Linked DNA regions of Danio rerio. The protein of the gene in region 2 interacts with the protein of the main gene of each other region in a pairwise test. Links are inferred from orthologs where the notes say so. Each region holds a gene or a part of one and is shown on either strand. Other genes may lie near its edges.

Region 1 (4,925 bases), on a different chromosome or scaffold from region 2:
GAAAAAAGTTAACAGGAATCAACATTTTTCATGTCAACTTTTGTGTTTAAAGCAGGGGTGCCCATATTCAGTCTTGGAGGGCCGGTGTCCTGCAAAGTTTAGTTCCAACCCCAATTAGACACACCTGAACTTGTTACTTAAGCTGTTTCTAGGTATACTAGAAACTTCCAGGCAGTGTGTTGAAGGAAGTTGGAGCTAAACTATGCAGGACACTGGCCCTACAGGACCGAGTTTGGGCAGCCCTGGTTTAAAGGAAGAAAGAAACTCAAAAAGGTTGAAAAGAGTAAATGATAGAATTTACAAATTTGGGTGAACTATTCCTTTAAACCAGAGGTGAGCAAACTGGGTCCTGGAGGGCCGGTGTCCTGCATAGTTTAGCTGCAACACTAATCAAACACACCTGAACATGCTAATCAGTGCCTTCAAGATCACTAAATCTATAAGCAGGTGTGTGTGATTAGAGTTGGAGCTAAACTGCCAAAACTGTAAGACTTGCTTTGTTAACCAAATAAGTATATCTGATTGGATTTGAATTGTAAACATTAAATAAAAGTAAAAAAAAAATATTATTTTTATTTTATATATTCAGTTTTTTGTTATGATACTCTCAAAATCATTCCGCATAAATGTGCTGATTTTTTTACACAATTCTCAGCAAAAATGTCTACAGATTCTGTCTGGCCATAACTATCGCTTTAAACACTGTGGTGCAAAATGCTTTATGCATGATGTCACCTCAAATATTTAATCAGAAAAATACTGCAGATATTCTGCATTTAAGTGATTTATATGAATTATTTATTGTGTTCAGTAGATCTCAAAAATGCAACTTACTCAGAATAAATTAGAATTTGAAATAATAGTTGTCTTGGAGCTACAGACAAGACCTTATCAAACCAACAGCAATAGAGTATATGCAGAAGTATGCTAAAGAACTTTTAATTTGCCTGTAACCTGGGTTAAGCGTTTCTGGGGAACTGTATGTCATTGCAAAATCGGTGCATATATTTTGCAATATATAAGGTCTGTTTTCTTTAAAAATCAGCGATATCCACTGGATGAGTAATATTCGATATAAAGTGGGTCTCAGATTGTACAAGAAGCACTGCATTAAATTACATTTTTTCCGCCATGTCTTCATAATATGAGCATTTATTTTACCCCAGTATATGCAATAAAGCTTCTGCGCTAGCCTGCTGATTCTAATGGACACGTACAAGTAAATGACTTTTTTTGTCTTGTTTTACGTTGGAGCAACTAAATGAATGTCAAAGTCTTTTTAACTGATTGTATTTTATTTACATTATAACATCAATGGTGTAAAAAGGAACCGTAAAAAATGGAAAAAAGTCACATTAACCGTTCACTGGAAGTTTATCAGTCTGGGAAAAAAACATTACCTCGGCATAATAACTTACTATAATGCAAATAGTTGTAATAAAATATGCTAACTATTTTTATACTTTATGCAGTTTTAGGTCTTTTTGGCTACTGCTCCGATCCAGCTACAAACCCACACTCACACATTTGGCCACTAGATCCAGGCCAGGCTCTGCCATATGGTAGGCCTAATGATGGATAATTTTTTATCATTAAATGAGCCATCCTAAGAATTTCTACATATAGAAATTATAATTACAATAATTATATTTACAGTATTTATTAACTATACACAAAATATTACAAATACATAATTTCATTTACACGGGGATCTTGTGGCCTGAAACCAAACCCTGAAACATGTGGGTCTGCGCGTCTGATGCTGCCTGCATGCTATTGGAATGTCGTCCACTAGTTGGCGCAAGTGTAGCCAAGTGACAGGTTAATGAGTCCATCATCTGCAGGTTTGGCGCTTCAGAAAGTGTTACCCTAAAACGCATGCACAATGTCAACAAACGGCAAGACCCCGAGAATACTACAGTTTGTGGCTCCAGATGAGCGTCGTCAGTTTGGAATTGAGGTAACAGTACATTAGCATGTGAGCTACTTAATAAAAAAGAAATGGATCAGTTTACAACAAAACGCGCTAGCAAACAACTCCATTTTCTTTAAATTATTTAAACATGCATGAACGTTCTGTTAAAAATCTATACAACGCACAAATGTCAAGTTCCAGAATGCACAAACGTGTAAATAGTGTTCCGTCATGTGTCGTTATGAAGGCCAGGGTTGGAGTTGGCAGAACATGATAATTCAGAACGCTGTCCTAAAATCATAGGCCTAGCCCTAAAACTTTCATTCATTCATTTATTCATTTCCTTCGTCTTAATTTTATATATATATATATATATATATATATATATATATATATATATATATATATATATATATATATATATATATATATATATATATATATTTGTTGTGAAGTTTGCGTGTTCTCCCCGTGTTTCCTCCGGGTGCTCCAGTTTCCCCCACAAGTCTTCAAACATGTGCTTAAAGTGAATTGGGTAAGATCGAGGTGTATGTGTGTAAATAAGTGTGAATGTTTGCCAGTAATGGGTTGCAGCTTGGAAGGGCATCCGCTGTGTAAAATATATGCTGGATAAGTTGGCAGTTCATTCCGCTGTAGTGACCCCTGATTAATAAAGGCACTAAGCTGAAAAGAAAATGAGTGAATGAAAGATTTTTTGCTGAGGGACATGGGTGCTTCTCTTTAAGATGCATTAAATTAGAAAATATTATTTAAAATGCATAAATTGTTGGTATTTGTAATCATTTCATTTTATTTTTTCCTCTTAGACCCCTTTTCAGCGTCTGGCTCCACAAATGCAAGACATATTAGGGGATGGAGGAGTCCTTAAAGAGGTCATCCATGAAGGAGAAGGGCCACCTGTATCAATGCATGCTTCAGTATCAAGTAAATTACGTTAAACATTGTTTCTCATTTATGACTTTCAAGTAGTATCAAGGCTCAACATTAAGAACTGCCTGATGGCCAGGGGCCAGCATGAGAGAAGCTAGGGACAATTGACAGAATTGTTACTGGCCCGATCAGTGCTGCCTCGCCATTAAAGTTTAATTTGCCTGCAACTATTTGTCAATTGCATGCAGATTTAAAATATAAAAATAATGTCTTAGAATCGATACAGTGCTTTTAAGACTTTAAATACCATTTTCTCTGTCATGTCTTAAACACAATATTACTTTTTGGTTCCTCATATCTGATTGGATGTTGTAAGCATGTTTTTTTTTTCCTTAACCTGGTAACAACCAGTATAGCAAAGAGACAGAAACATTGCTGCAACATCATATTATGAGGCTAAAAGAAAACGTCTGTATCTAACATACTGGAAGCAGACATTTACATGAGTACGACATGCCGTCAATTTGGCAACTCAGCCATCTTTTGTTAAATAATTTAGAACTGCAATAAAATACCTGCACATTTTCCATGGTGCTCTTTTTGTTTGCATAACACTTTAAATTTGACTCATTATACAGTTATTAACATTTTTTTTAAATATTTAAATTTTAGATTCTTAAGTTTTGACACATTATTTAAAATATGTAGCTAAGAAATAGGTAACTCATAGGTAAGTTAAGGTAACTCAAACTATTTGAGAAAACAGACAAACCATTTGAGTTAAAAAACTAATCTAAATGAGTACTGTGAACTTAATTAATTTCAGTAAATCAAGCAATTTAAGCACAGTAAAACCCGATAAATGAAGAGAACTCAAACTAACTGAGTACTAGTGAAACCATTTGAGTTAAAAAAAACGAATCTTTATGAGTACTTTGAACTTACTCCATTTAAGTTGAAGTAATGAGGTATTAGAATAGTTCAAAACGCCTTTCAAATGAGTAAAATGAACTTTAAATCAATTTTGAGTTATCTACACTACACTTTTTATTTATTTATTTATTTTATATTTTTTGTGGGGCCAGTGAAAATTTTGGCCAGTAGAAAGAAATCATTAGTGTTGAACCCTGAGTACCTACCTTTTTTCACACTACTGTGGTTTTATATTATGTAAAAGCGTAAATTAGTCTTATTTTCCATGCAAAGCATCGTTTGGCATAGGAAAAAAGTCAGTAGAAAAAAATTATTCCTAAAGTATTTAGCAGTTTGAAATATTGGGGCCTGTGAGACTAATAATGTTTTTGAAAAAATACTTTTTTTAAAAGACAATTTAAGTCCGTTAAGTCAAACTATTAAAATATATGCTGTAAGTGTATTAAATGCAAAGCTCTGTCATGAACTTTGAATGTGTCCCATTCAATCTGCTTGCATCCCTAATTATTTACATGGTGCAGGTGATAGGTTGCGGTCACCTCAGCAGCCAATGAGCTTAAACCTGTGGGTGTTTCTTAGCACTAGAGGTTGTGCTCTCATGACTGGGTTGATGGTTCATTTGATGGTTCATTCCTCTGTGGCGAGCCCTTATAAATCTGGGACTAAGCTAAAGTAGTGATGAGAACAGATTCTTTTTTCAAAAACTTTGTTATTTTCTTGAACTTTAAAATTGTACATCTTTTTGTAAACTCATATGTCACTTGTGATCGGTTTATTGTGCGCTTGCTGAAAAAAATGTATAATTTCTTTCTTACACTTTTTAATTGGTTGTGTCTGTACCTTTATATCATGTTCTCTTTGGTTTGTTAGCTACTCATTTCAAGACCTCATTTCATCCACAGTTAATTTCTCTGGTTTCATCGAGTACACTGACGCACCATTTGAGACAACCAACCACCTTAAATATCCACGAATGATGAAGCTTGGTAAAGGTAGGATGGGATTGTAACTCTCCCATTAGAATGGGTAGACATCAAGATTCTCCATTAAATTCTCTTTGCCCTGTAAGGAGTCATTCATACCTTTTTCCCCATAGATGTCACTTTGTATGGCCTAGAGCTTGGTCTTCTTACTATGAAGAAAGGCGAGTTCTCCCGTTTTCTCTTCAAGCCTAAATATGCCTATG
Region 2 (4,772 bases):
TGTATAAGAATGTGCCATGAGCTGAGTCACATCCACTTTAAACACAAACGGGAATCTTAATATACTTGGGTGGTGGGGGGATGGGGGGGTTCATTCAAAACTTCATCCCATTCGAAAACAAAATGTCAATAGATCAGGTATCATGCTGTGCAAGAAGCTTAGTGGTGTTTGACTAGTTTGAAGAAGCTTTATGTAAGCACTGAGCGAAGAGTGATTGGAGTGTGTATGTGTGTATTCTGGACACCGGACGTTCCAATCTGGGCCAGTTTTTGAGAAGTCATGTTACTTTTTAATTTATGGTCACAAAAAAGCAAAAATATACTAAATATTTGCAATAAACATAAAGTCGCCTAATAGAGAGTTTCACAGTGATCCCATAGAAGAAATATTTTTAGTCCAAAGATCTAAAAAGTAGATCAAAAAGACAATTCATTGGCATTGATGCTTCCATTAAACATTGTTTACATCGTCAACATAAGGTTCTTTTTAGCGGAAATGGTTTTTAACAGTACAGTAAAGGCATTTCACACACACATAAATGATTCCTTTTGGAACTCTTTACTGAAAAGTTGTTTTCAGTAATTTTGTATATGGGAGACGTTCCCATGTACAGAAGTTTGCATCAGCTGGTAAAGACCTTCAACCCACCTAGGTAGGTGTGGCTTTAACACTACTCTGAATTTAATTTCCTCTGTTTAATCCATCATTGTCAGACAAACACAAGTAAAATCAAGCACTAAAGAGCAGTTTTATAGTGGATACTAGGGCTGGGCGATAAAATTGATATCGATATTTATTGACGGAACCACCATTGTCAATATCGATAAAAAAACGATTTAGAATTATTTAGTTCCGGTATAAAGCACTATAGTTTTATTAAAAGTGGCTGATGAACGTGTGCCTTGGAAACAGTGCCAATAAGTTTAGGGTGAAAGTTTGTCATTTCCAATGAAGTCGCGCGACTTGAGCGACGCGCCCATGTTGTGCAGGTGGTGCACACATACACATGTGAACCGTGCACATTTTTGAGCCGCATCTACAGTAGTTAAAAACATTTGAACTTTTCTGAATGCTGAGAGCACACCGCCATTCATGCTAGTAGAATTAACCAATCTGCCTCACACTTTGTATGGAATATACACATTTCAGTAATAACGGCAGACTAATTACCTCAGACAAACACAGCGCAGCCAAACACTGCAGTGCTTTTTACTTTTCTCCATAAACTTGTTGCAGCAATGGTTTTTCTGCAACCATTCCAGATTCCAATTGGAACCAATTCCAGAAACCATGCGCGTGCACTTGTTACTTAAGGTTAGAATAACAACACATGCGAAAATGAGTGCCATATAGCAGCATTGAGGAGATTATAAACAATAAAAGATGTAAAGATGTCGCCAGAGTGGCTTTTTGGTTTCTTTTCTTGTGCATCCTAGCCACTAGCTCCCCATCTGAGACATGTTTTAGCGTAGGGGTAATGTAGCCATTTAAGTATTTAACAATTTGTATTGTTATAATATGTATTTAAATAATTTGAGTTTTACTGCATCATTATTATTGACATCTTACAGATGTTGTTCTACCTTTATCATTGCACACACTTTGTAGCATTTTATTCATCAAGTTTAGGAGTCTCTTTAACACTTATTTATTTTATTATAAAGAGATCAGAAATTTTGTTTAAATATTTTTGTTTTTGACTATTGAACATATTTGCCTTAGTAATGTTGGCAAATTAAAATAAAATGGTTTAAAAAAAAATCTAATATTCCTAAATGTATTTTGTAAGATAATTGTCAATATCAGATGATATGAAACATGATATTGTGATAATATGTTTTGCAATATCACCCAGCTCTAGTAGATACTGATGTTCTGAAAGTTACTGTAGATACTGAAAATATTAATGAGCAACACTGACACCTTTTCTCTATATAAACTTTGCTGTGATTGACTGGGGACACTTTCACATCAGTATTATCAGATGATTTCTGTACATTTGTTTGAATAATTTCAACAAATTTTAGGAAAGAGGAAAAATAGCGCCAAGCTATTTTGAATTTAAAGTTCTATTTTTTTTACTCCTAAAAGAATTGTAAAAAATGTTTTAGTATATATGAACCTGAAGTGTAGTTTCAAAACATTGAATTTCCACAAAATGGTCTCCACAAAACAAAACCAAACCGCTTAGTTGACTCCTGTAAATCAATCCACTCGCAAGGCCCTGCTTTCAAACAAACAAACCAGCCACAAAAACTTAACAAGCTCAACAAACACTCTTTACAGCAGATATAAATACCTATAGGTGACAAAAAACACAAAAGACGTCTCATTTATGTCTTCTAGAGGACAGTGATGTTAAAATGAGAGTAAACTGAGACTTTTGTTTACGCCTCATGCTGCTTATATGGTTTTCCTGTGGGAATCTCACATGTCTCTCTCTGGAGAACCAGAAAAGAGCACAATATTTGACAAGATACCAACGTTTGTAACAGTCTTACTGTCTTAATTTTGTCTTCATTACTTCAAACATTTTAAAGGAGACATCTGGTGACAAACTTAAATGAAGCACAACAGAGTTCACTATTGTATCTTTGTATCTCTGATAAATCAAAACAAAAGCCCAACTTACTCAGCCCCCAAAATAACACAGTATCATTAACATTCTCGCACAGCAGAAAGCACTAACAGTGCTGCTAAAACTTCAAAGAGCGTCTTCTCACCCCAAACCCTATCAGCTTTAAGAAAGTTAATCATTCATTTCACATCACTTCAAAGCTCCCGTGAGCTGCAGTGGTAATCTGAACTCTCGTGCATTCGCAGGCTGCAATAAATCCAGTGGTGTTGCTGACATACCCATAGTGCTCTGCATGGCTGCCTCCTCGCGTCTCCCCAGCCTGTCCTGGAGGTACAATCCCAGTCAGTTCACTGTACTTCTGCTGCTTCTCCTCTCTGTATCACTTTGCTTCTCTCCTACATGCTCATTCTCCGTGCTCCTCCTCCTCATGCCAAAGTTTGCTCTCTTTTCTCTGGCAGAAACCCCCTTCCTCTGTGTCCCGTCCTCTGCTGTTTGCCGCCAGCACCGCCCCCTTCTCCTGCTACCCTCCTCCCATTCGCACTTTGTCTGTGGCCCCTTCCTCCTCCACCACCCCCATCCTCACACACATTTAATCCCTCCTCATACTTGCTCCCTTTTTTCCCCTTGTCTTTCTTCTACCTTTTGCTGTTCTTCATCTCTGACCACGACAGTGTCTGTGGAAAATGGACGACTGCTGTGCAGTTTTTAAGTCTGACATTCAGTGGCTACTTTAAACTTACTGGGCAGGCTGTATCATATTTGATAAGAAGATTTGAAGGGTTCTAAATTGTCAGTGTAATCAAAACTTTGTTGGATAACTCTAGTGTACAATTGACTATATGCCTTCTGTTGTCTTCTTGACAGTTGTGTAATAAGTTTAAGGTCCTTTAGAGTCATTTCTGAAAATTTCCCTTATCAGGACAGGTTGTGGTTTATTTGTCTTTATGTCACATCTTTAAATGATGGTATGGTATGGTATTAGAGGAGTAGCCTTGGATTGGATAATTAGTTATTTAAAAAATAGGCAACAGTTTGTGGAAATTGGCAACCATAAATCATCATATTTAAATGCAAAGTGTGGCATACCACAAAGATCAGTTTTAGGTCCAATATTGTTTATAATTTACATTAATAATATGTGTAAGATTTCAGAGTTGTTTAAGCTTATTTTATTTGCAGATGATACAAGTATCATTTTGTTCTGGGCATAATTTACCAAAATTTATGGAGTTGATTAAAACAAATTAATAAATTGAAATTGTGGTTTGACGTAAACAAATTGTCATTAAATATAAGTAAAACAAAAGGTTTTGTTATCTGGGAAATTAAAAAGTAGACATAATATAGATTTCCAAATTGATAATAAAGTATTTAAGTATAGAGATTATGCAATTATGTTTGTTGGTTTTATATTGGATCATAAAATTAGTTGCGGAAACCGCAAATAAATAATGTAATATCAAAAATAGTAAAAACTGTAGCAATAGTGTAAAAAGCAAGATTTATACTGGACAATATATCAATGTATATATTATATAACACACTTATGTTGCCATATATGAGCTATTGTGTGGAAATTTGGGGGAATACATATACCCCAATATATATATATATATATATATATATATATATATATATATATATATATATATATATATATATTCCCCAATATAATATATATTTACTTACAATCCTTATGTACAATGCAGAAAAAAGTAATTAGACTGATAGAAAATGTGGGGTATTTGGAGCATACAAATCCTTTATTTTTTTAAATTGAAAATACTTAAGTTCAATGATTTGGTTGAATTTAAAACAGCACAATTAATGTTTAAAGCTGGGAATAAAATACTTCCTAAATGCATACAAAAGTTTTTTGAAGAAAGACAAGGGGGATATAATCTGAGAGAAAAACATAATAGGAGGTTGAAAACAAGGACAACTTTAAAAAGTTTGTGTATGTCTGTTTGTGGTGTGAAATTATGCAACATTCTGGAACAGATTTTCAAACAATGTCAGGATATTACTCAATTTTAAAATTTGTATAATTATACATCATTAAAGGAATATAATGATGAAGGTGATTGAAAAAGGATCAAATGAGAAAGGTATGATGAAATTTAAATTAATGGCTATTTGCAGTACTATGTATTTTTTGGGGGTCTATGTTATAAAAAGTAAATGTACAAATAGA
Region 3 (4,970 bases), on a different chromosome or scaffold from region 2:
TGTAACTGATGTATTATTATGTCCAACAGGGGGCGCAAGCGCTTTGTTAGTGAGGGTGATGGAGGAATTGTGAAAAGTTAGAAGATTCCGAAGAGCTCCAGCAGGATCTTGATGCTGAACAAGTTGGGATCTCCTGCACCTCCCTGGAAATCTTTCCTCAATGTCTTCATTGCTCATCCTCCAAGTTCACACAGAAATATTCAGCCTCAGAAATGAGATTGTCTTGATGAAGAGTGACAACTGAGAAATCTTCTCTCCTCTATTATGGGCTTGCCTTAGTTGTTTTTTGAGTTTATGTGCATTTATACAGTATGCAACATAAATGGAAAAGAAGTGAGGAAATCAGCAGCTTCAGAGGGCCGTGAAATACAGTTTGGGTTGAGGGATTAATTTTGCTTTATCTTTTTCAGCTTAAGTTGTTTTTTGTTGTGTTCTCTTGTTAGTGATGGCAGTGGTCGCTCATTCTTTTTTTGGCAGTGGACCTAATAAGGTATTAAATGAGTCAGGCTATTCAAATCAAGTACTTAATCAAACTGTTGGGCCAAAATGTAATGTTTTATGAAGCGATTGGGGTCACTTCTATTGGTTTGCATTTTATTTGCATGTTTATCTTCAAATGTTTCTTATAATTGCTTAAAGTAACCATACCCCCCACATTCACAGATTCAGAAGCTTCCAGCAGAATACTGCATACTTTTTTTTTTTTTTTCAAAAGGATTATCAAGGCTCGTTGGTGATTTAGGCCAAATGCAAGTCAAACAGTTCTGATTATTGTTTCTGGCAGATTTTTACATCATTAAGTGTCTTTGTAGGTGTTAGTTAAAGGACAGAGGAGAGAGAGCATCATCACCTCTCGCTCAGGCTGATGTCTGTGACTGTTCCCATGTTCATTACTGTCTAAAGTTTTCTACCCTCTCTGTTTGATGGTGAAGTTTAGAACAATCGTTTATTTCAGTCCTGGTGTTTATTTGGAGAAAAGCAGTTTAATTATGTCAGTACAGCTGAGCCAACATTTTCTGAAAATATCTTTGCATATCACTTTTTAAGTGGTATATTTTTCAGAAAATTACCAACTCTCACAATCAATACTTGTGGTTTCAATAATGGCATAATGGGAGGAAATTACTAAATTTAACCAAAAGTACTTTTGTACAAGCAATCTTTTTTGTATCATTTTGTTCATGGGTCACTTTTTCAAATACATTATTTTTGTCAAACAGCAGTTCCAGAGTTCCAGCATTGAATACATTTTGACACTAATAATTTCAATAAAAATTCATAATGCTCGCATCAGTGTTTCTTTGTTTTAACTAATGCACTGATTACATCTTTGGTTTTTCAAATGTTTCTAGTAAAAATTGATATTAAGATTAATAAATGCGTGTTCACAGTTGATTTTAACAAATGTTGTTAAATTATTTTAGTTAACAAACCTTATTGTAGGGAACTTTAGCATGTTGGCCGGTTTAAACTGGTTGACCAGCCTGGTTTTAGGAGGGGTTTTGGCCATTTTCAGGCTGGTTTCCAGGCATTTCTAGCCTGGTCTTAGTGGGTCAGGCTGGAAAATGACCAGCTAAAACCAACTTGACCAGCCTGGTTTAAGCTGGGCATAGCTGGTTTTGGCTGGGCTCCCAAGACGTCTTGCTTGGCTTGTTTCTAAAACCAGGCTGGTTGACCAACTAAAACCAGCCAACCATCATAGGCTGGTCTAAGCTGGATTCTTCAGCAGGGTAATTATATAAAATATCAGTAAATCCTAATTTTAAGAAGACATTAGGTTTTCAATGCAAATTTAGAAATCAAGAGATTTCAAGAGAAGCAAAGTTTCACACTCCAGACCAGTTGGTGGCACTGCTACAAAGTAATAGTCAAAAATCGACACAAGAATGAGAGCGTTGTGTTTACTGGACGTAAGTGTGTGTTCATTACCTTGGGTTTACTGGACGTAAGTGTGTGTTCATTACCTTGGGTTTAATTTGGACGTGTTTATCTTTTCTTTGATATAATTGTTGTAACTATATAGATTTAAGGCTGTATTAATAATTGTATCAGCGTAAAGTGGGATGCATCATATCTCGATTACAGTAACACCATAATCCTAGACATTTACTATCCTAATTGACTAGAAATTCATTTAGCCGAAAACCAGAATTTCATAGTTACAACGTTAACTGTGTAAGAGCTGTTGACATTTTTTTTGACAAAATGATCAGACTCATTAATAGTTCGACTAAACATTTATTACGCAACTACAAACATAAGCTTTGATGGCAGTTATCATTACATTACAGAAACAAATGTTAGGATACACGTTCAAGACACAATTGACAGAATCTAAGTAACGTAAAAAGACTGCCCTGTAAATTAATGGATGGTTACTTTTTAACTGATATGAAAATGACCTCTTTTTGTCTCCTCTTGATTTTAGTATCTTGGGCATGAGCTGCAGTCGTAGGATTTTTCATTTGTCTATTTAATAGCAAAGTGTTAAAGATGAACAACCCAGTCTACTTCACCAGAGCCAAACAAGAGGAGACGCTCTGGATAGAAAAAAAGAAAGAAGACAAGCAAACAATTTCTGGGGTTGAGGCCAGAGACTTTTACCAAAGCCTCTTACAAGAGAGAGATAGAGAAAGGCCAAGAGATGGAGAAGCAGCAGCAAGTAGAAGAGCAAAAAGACGAACAGGTAGAATTGTCAAATTACTATCTGATATTTGATTATGCACTGATGTATTTTAATTTAGTGTCTTTTAAAATTTTCTTAGTCACAACAACTTAAATTAACTGGATTTTTTGTATGACACAGTATTTCATTTTGCCACAAGTGTGTGCATTCGCAACTGATGACGCTGTGACTGAGTGTGGAAACAGTTTTTGTCTTTATTACATTCTACAGGACTTCTGTGGAAATCATGTGAGAGAAAGTATTCAAAGGTCAAAAACGTGAAAAGCAGCAGCCGGTTAGAACACGAGGGGCCCTTCCTGGGGCACATAAACAGCATGCAAAATGCTTGTGGGCAATAGAAAACAGTTTTAATACACTGCCTTAGACCACTAAAAAAAGTTTGTTGTCCAAAACATTAAGGGCTTAAGAGTAAAAGCCGTTGAAGTAAAATGACTTGGCACAAACGAAGTTAACTTTTATTATTCCAGAGTCGACTGCTTCTGGTTCTACTGGTCATGATCATGTGGGTATAAAAAACATTGCTGTTTTTTCAAATTAAAATTTTTATGTTTTTTTTTTTTTCTTAAAAACATTTTAAGATTCTGTTCTAAAGCTGCATTGTGCAGTGTAATAAAACACACACCATATTAAAACATCTTTGGTGCTTGGTGAAACCAAACTGGAAACTAAGGGTGTGTGAAACCATTAGCATGGCCACACAGGACATGTTCTGTGTCACTAGTTAAAAATGCTTATTTCTCTGGACTTTAACATACTTCTAAATGTTAGGGATATTGTTAGTACATAAGTCTGGAAAATTAATACATAACATTGTTCTAGTGGTTTTTGTATATATTTAAGAAAAAATCTTACATGTTGTGTCTTTTACATCAATGTGTAAATTGGTTAAACAAAAATCTAATTTTCAACTGCTACAGCATATTGTTACATTTATTCAATTGATAATGGTCAACTCAAATAAAAGAATCAGAAAAACTAAAAAAAATACCCTGTCCTCTGAGAGTAGATCACTCAGAATTGCAGTGTTTATAAAAAATTGCCTGGTGTGTATAGAGAGGAACAGCGAAAAAACATACGCTTTTCAAATGTATCATGATTAATAAAAATTTTACATCAAAACAAATTTGACAGAACATGCAAAATCTATATAAAATTGTAGTTTGTGTAGTACATATACAATTAGCCCCCCTGTTTATTGTTTTCACAGTTTCTGTTAAACCGAAAGAAGATTTTTTCAACACGTCTAAACATAATAGTTTTTATAACTCATCTCTAATAACTGTTTTTTTATATTTGCCATAATGACAGTAAATAATATTTTACTAGACATTTTCAAGACAGCTTAAACTGACATTTAAAGACTTAGCTAGGTTAATTATCTTAGGTTACAGGTTAGGGTAAATAGGCAAGTTATTGTATAACGATGGTTTGTTCTGTAGACTATCAAAAAAATTTGCTTAAAGGGGCTAATAAGTTTGTCCTTAAAATGATTATTTATTTCTTTATTTTTATTAAAACTGCTTTTATTCTAGCTAAAATAAAACAAATAAGACATCCTCTGAAAAGAAAAAAAACATCATCAGACATACTGTGAAAATTTCCTTGCTCTGTTAAACATCATTTGGGAAATATTTAAAAAAGAAAAATAAATTTAAAGGGGGCTAATAATTCTGACTTCAACTGTAAGTGTAGATTAACAATTGGTGTTTTTCCTCTTTGATACATTTAATCTCTGTCATTTATTTTCCTTAAAGTTTAGTTTAAAAAAATGACGTTTAAAACACTCATTGTTATACAGATTTATCATGATCTTCCAATATCTTTTGACACAAGAACCCAATCGAAGAAGAAGAGAAGCAAGAAGGCTAGAAGCTTCCACTGTGCAGCCAGTTTGCACGGAGCGTGATGGACACAAACTCCTGCAGTGCGCCCAGGAAGGCAACATTCGGGCCCTGAAAGACCTCTTACGACGTGGCTGTGATGTCAACTTCCGGGATGATTTTTTCTGGACAGGTGTGATGTGTGCGAGTCAGGCAGGACAAACAGAAGCCGTTCGGCTGCTCCTGGAGCATGGGGCCGCTTGGGTTGGAGTCGTGGACAAACAGGTACATAACATTTCCTCCTGAAATCTTTATGCCTCTTTCAATTTGTAGTTGTGAATAAAAAAATATTGTACTTTTTCAGTTGACTTTGCATATTTGGTTACAAATTGCACCTATCTGAAATATAAGATCAAATAAAAGATGTGGTGTGAAAGATATGTAATAGATATCATTTTTGCCAA

What was found.
Region 1: the proteins of lzts2a (region 2) and fkbp6 interact in binary tests that used the Homo sapiens proteins (3 or more experiments, as listed by UniProt). The two-hybrid records come from large-scale screens. The link is inferred for Danio rerio from reciprocal best matches to the Homo sapiens genes LZTS2 and FKBP6.
Region 3: the proteins of lzts2a (region 2) and gpank1 interact in binary tests that used the Homo sapiens proteins (3 or more experiments, as listed by UniProt). The two-hybrid records come from large-scale screens. The link is inferred for Danio rerio from reciprocal best matches to the Homo sapiens genes LZTS2 and GPANK1.

Annotation. Positions count from the first base shown.
Region 1 is NC_133180.1:61,312,295-61,317,219, forward strand, and holds the start of fkbp6 (inactive peptidyl-prolyl cis-trans isomerase FKBP6), read left to right. Parts: upstream 1-1,806; 5' UTR 1,807-1,885; coding exon 1,886-1,960; intron 1,961-2,100; exon of another isoform or gene 2,101-2,178; intron 2,179-2,742; coding exon 2,743-2,860; intron 2,861-4,641; coding exon 4,642-4,731; intron 4,732-4,835; coding exon 4,836-4,925. UniProt on the Homo sapiens protein: Has an essential role in spermatogenesis. It is required to repress transposable elements and prevent their mobilization, which is essential for the germline integrity.
Region 2 is NC_133188.1:20,794,689-20,799,460, forward strand, and holds the start of lzts2a (leucine zipper putative tumor suppressor 2a), read right to left. Parts: upstream 3,019-4,772; 5' UTR 2,857-3,018; intron 1-2,856. UniProt on the Homo sapiens protein: Negative regulator of katanin-mediated microtubule severing and release from the centrosome. Required for central spindle formation and the completion of cytokinesis.
Region 3 is NC_133176.1:27,689,358-27,694,327, reverse strand, and holds the start of gpank1 (G patch domain and ankyrin repeat-containing protein 1), read left to right. Parts: upstream 1-1,851; 5' UTR 1,852-1,910; exon of another isoform or gene 1,911-1,945; intron 1,946-2,428; 5' UTR 2,429-2,493; coding exon 2,494-2,686; intron 2,687-4,519; coding exon 4,520-4,791; intron 4,792-4,970.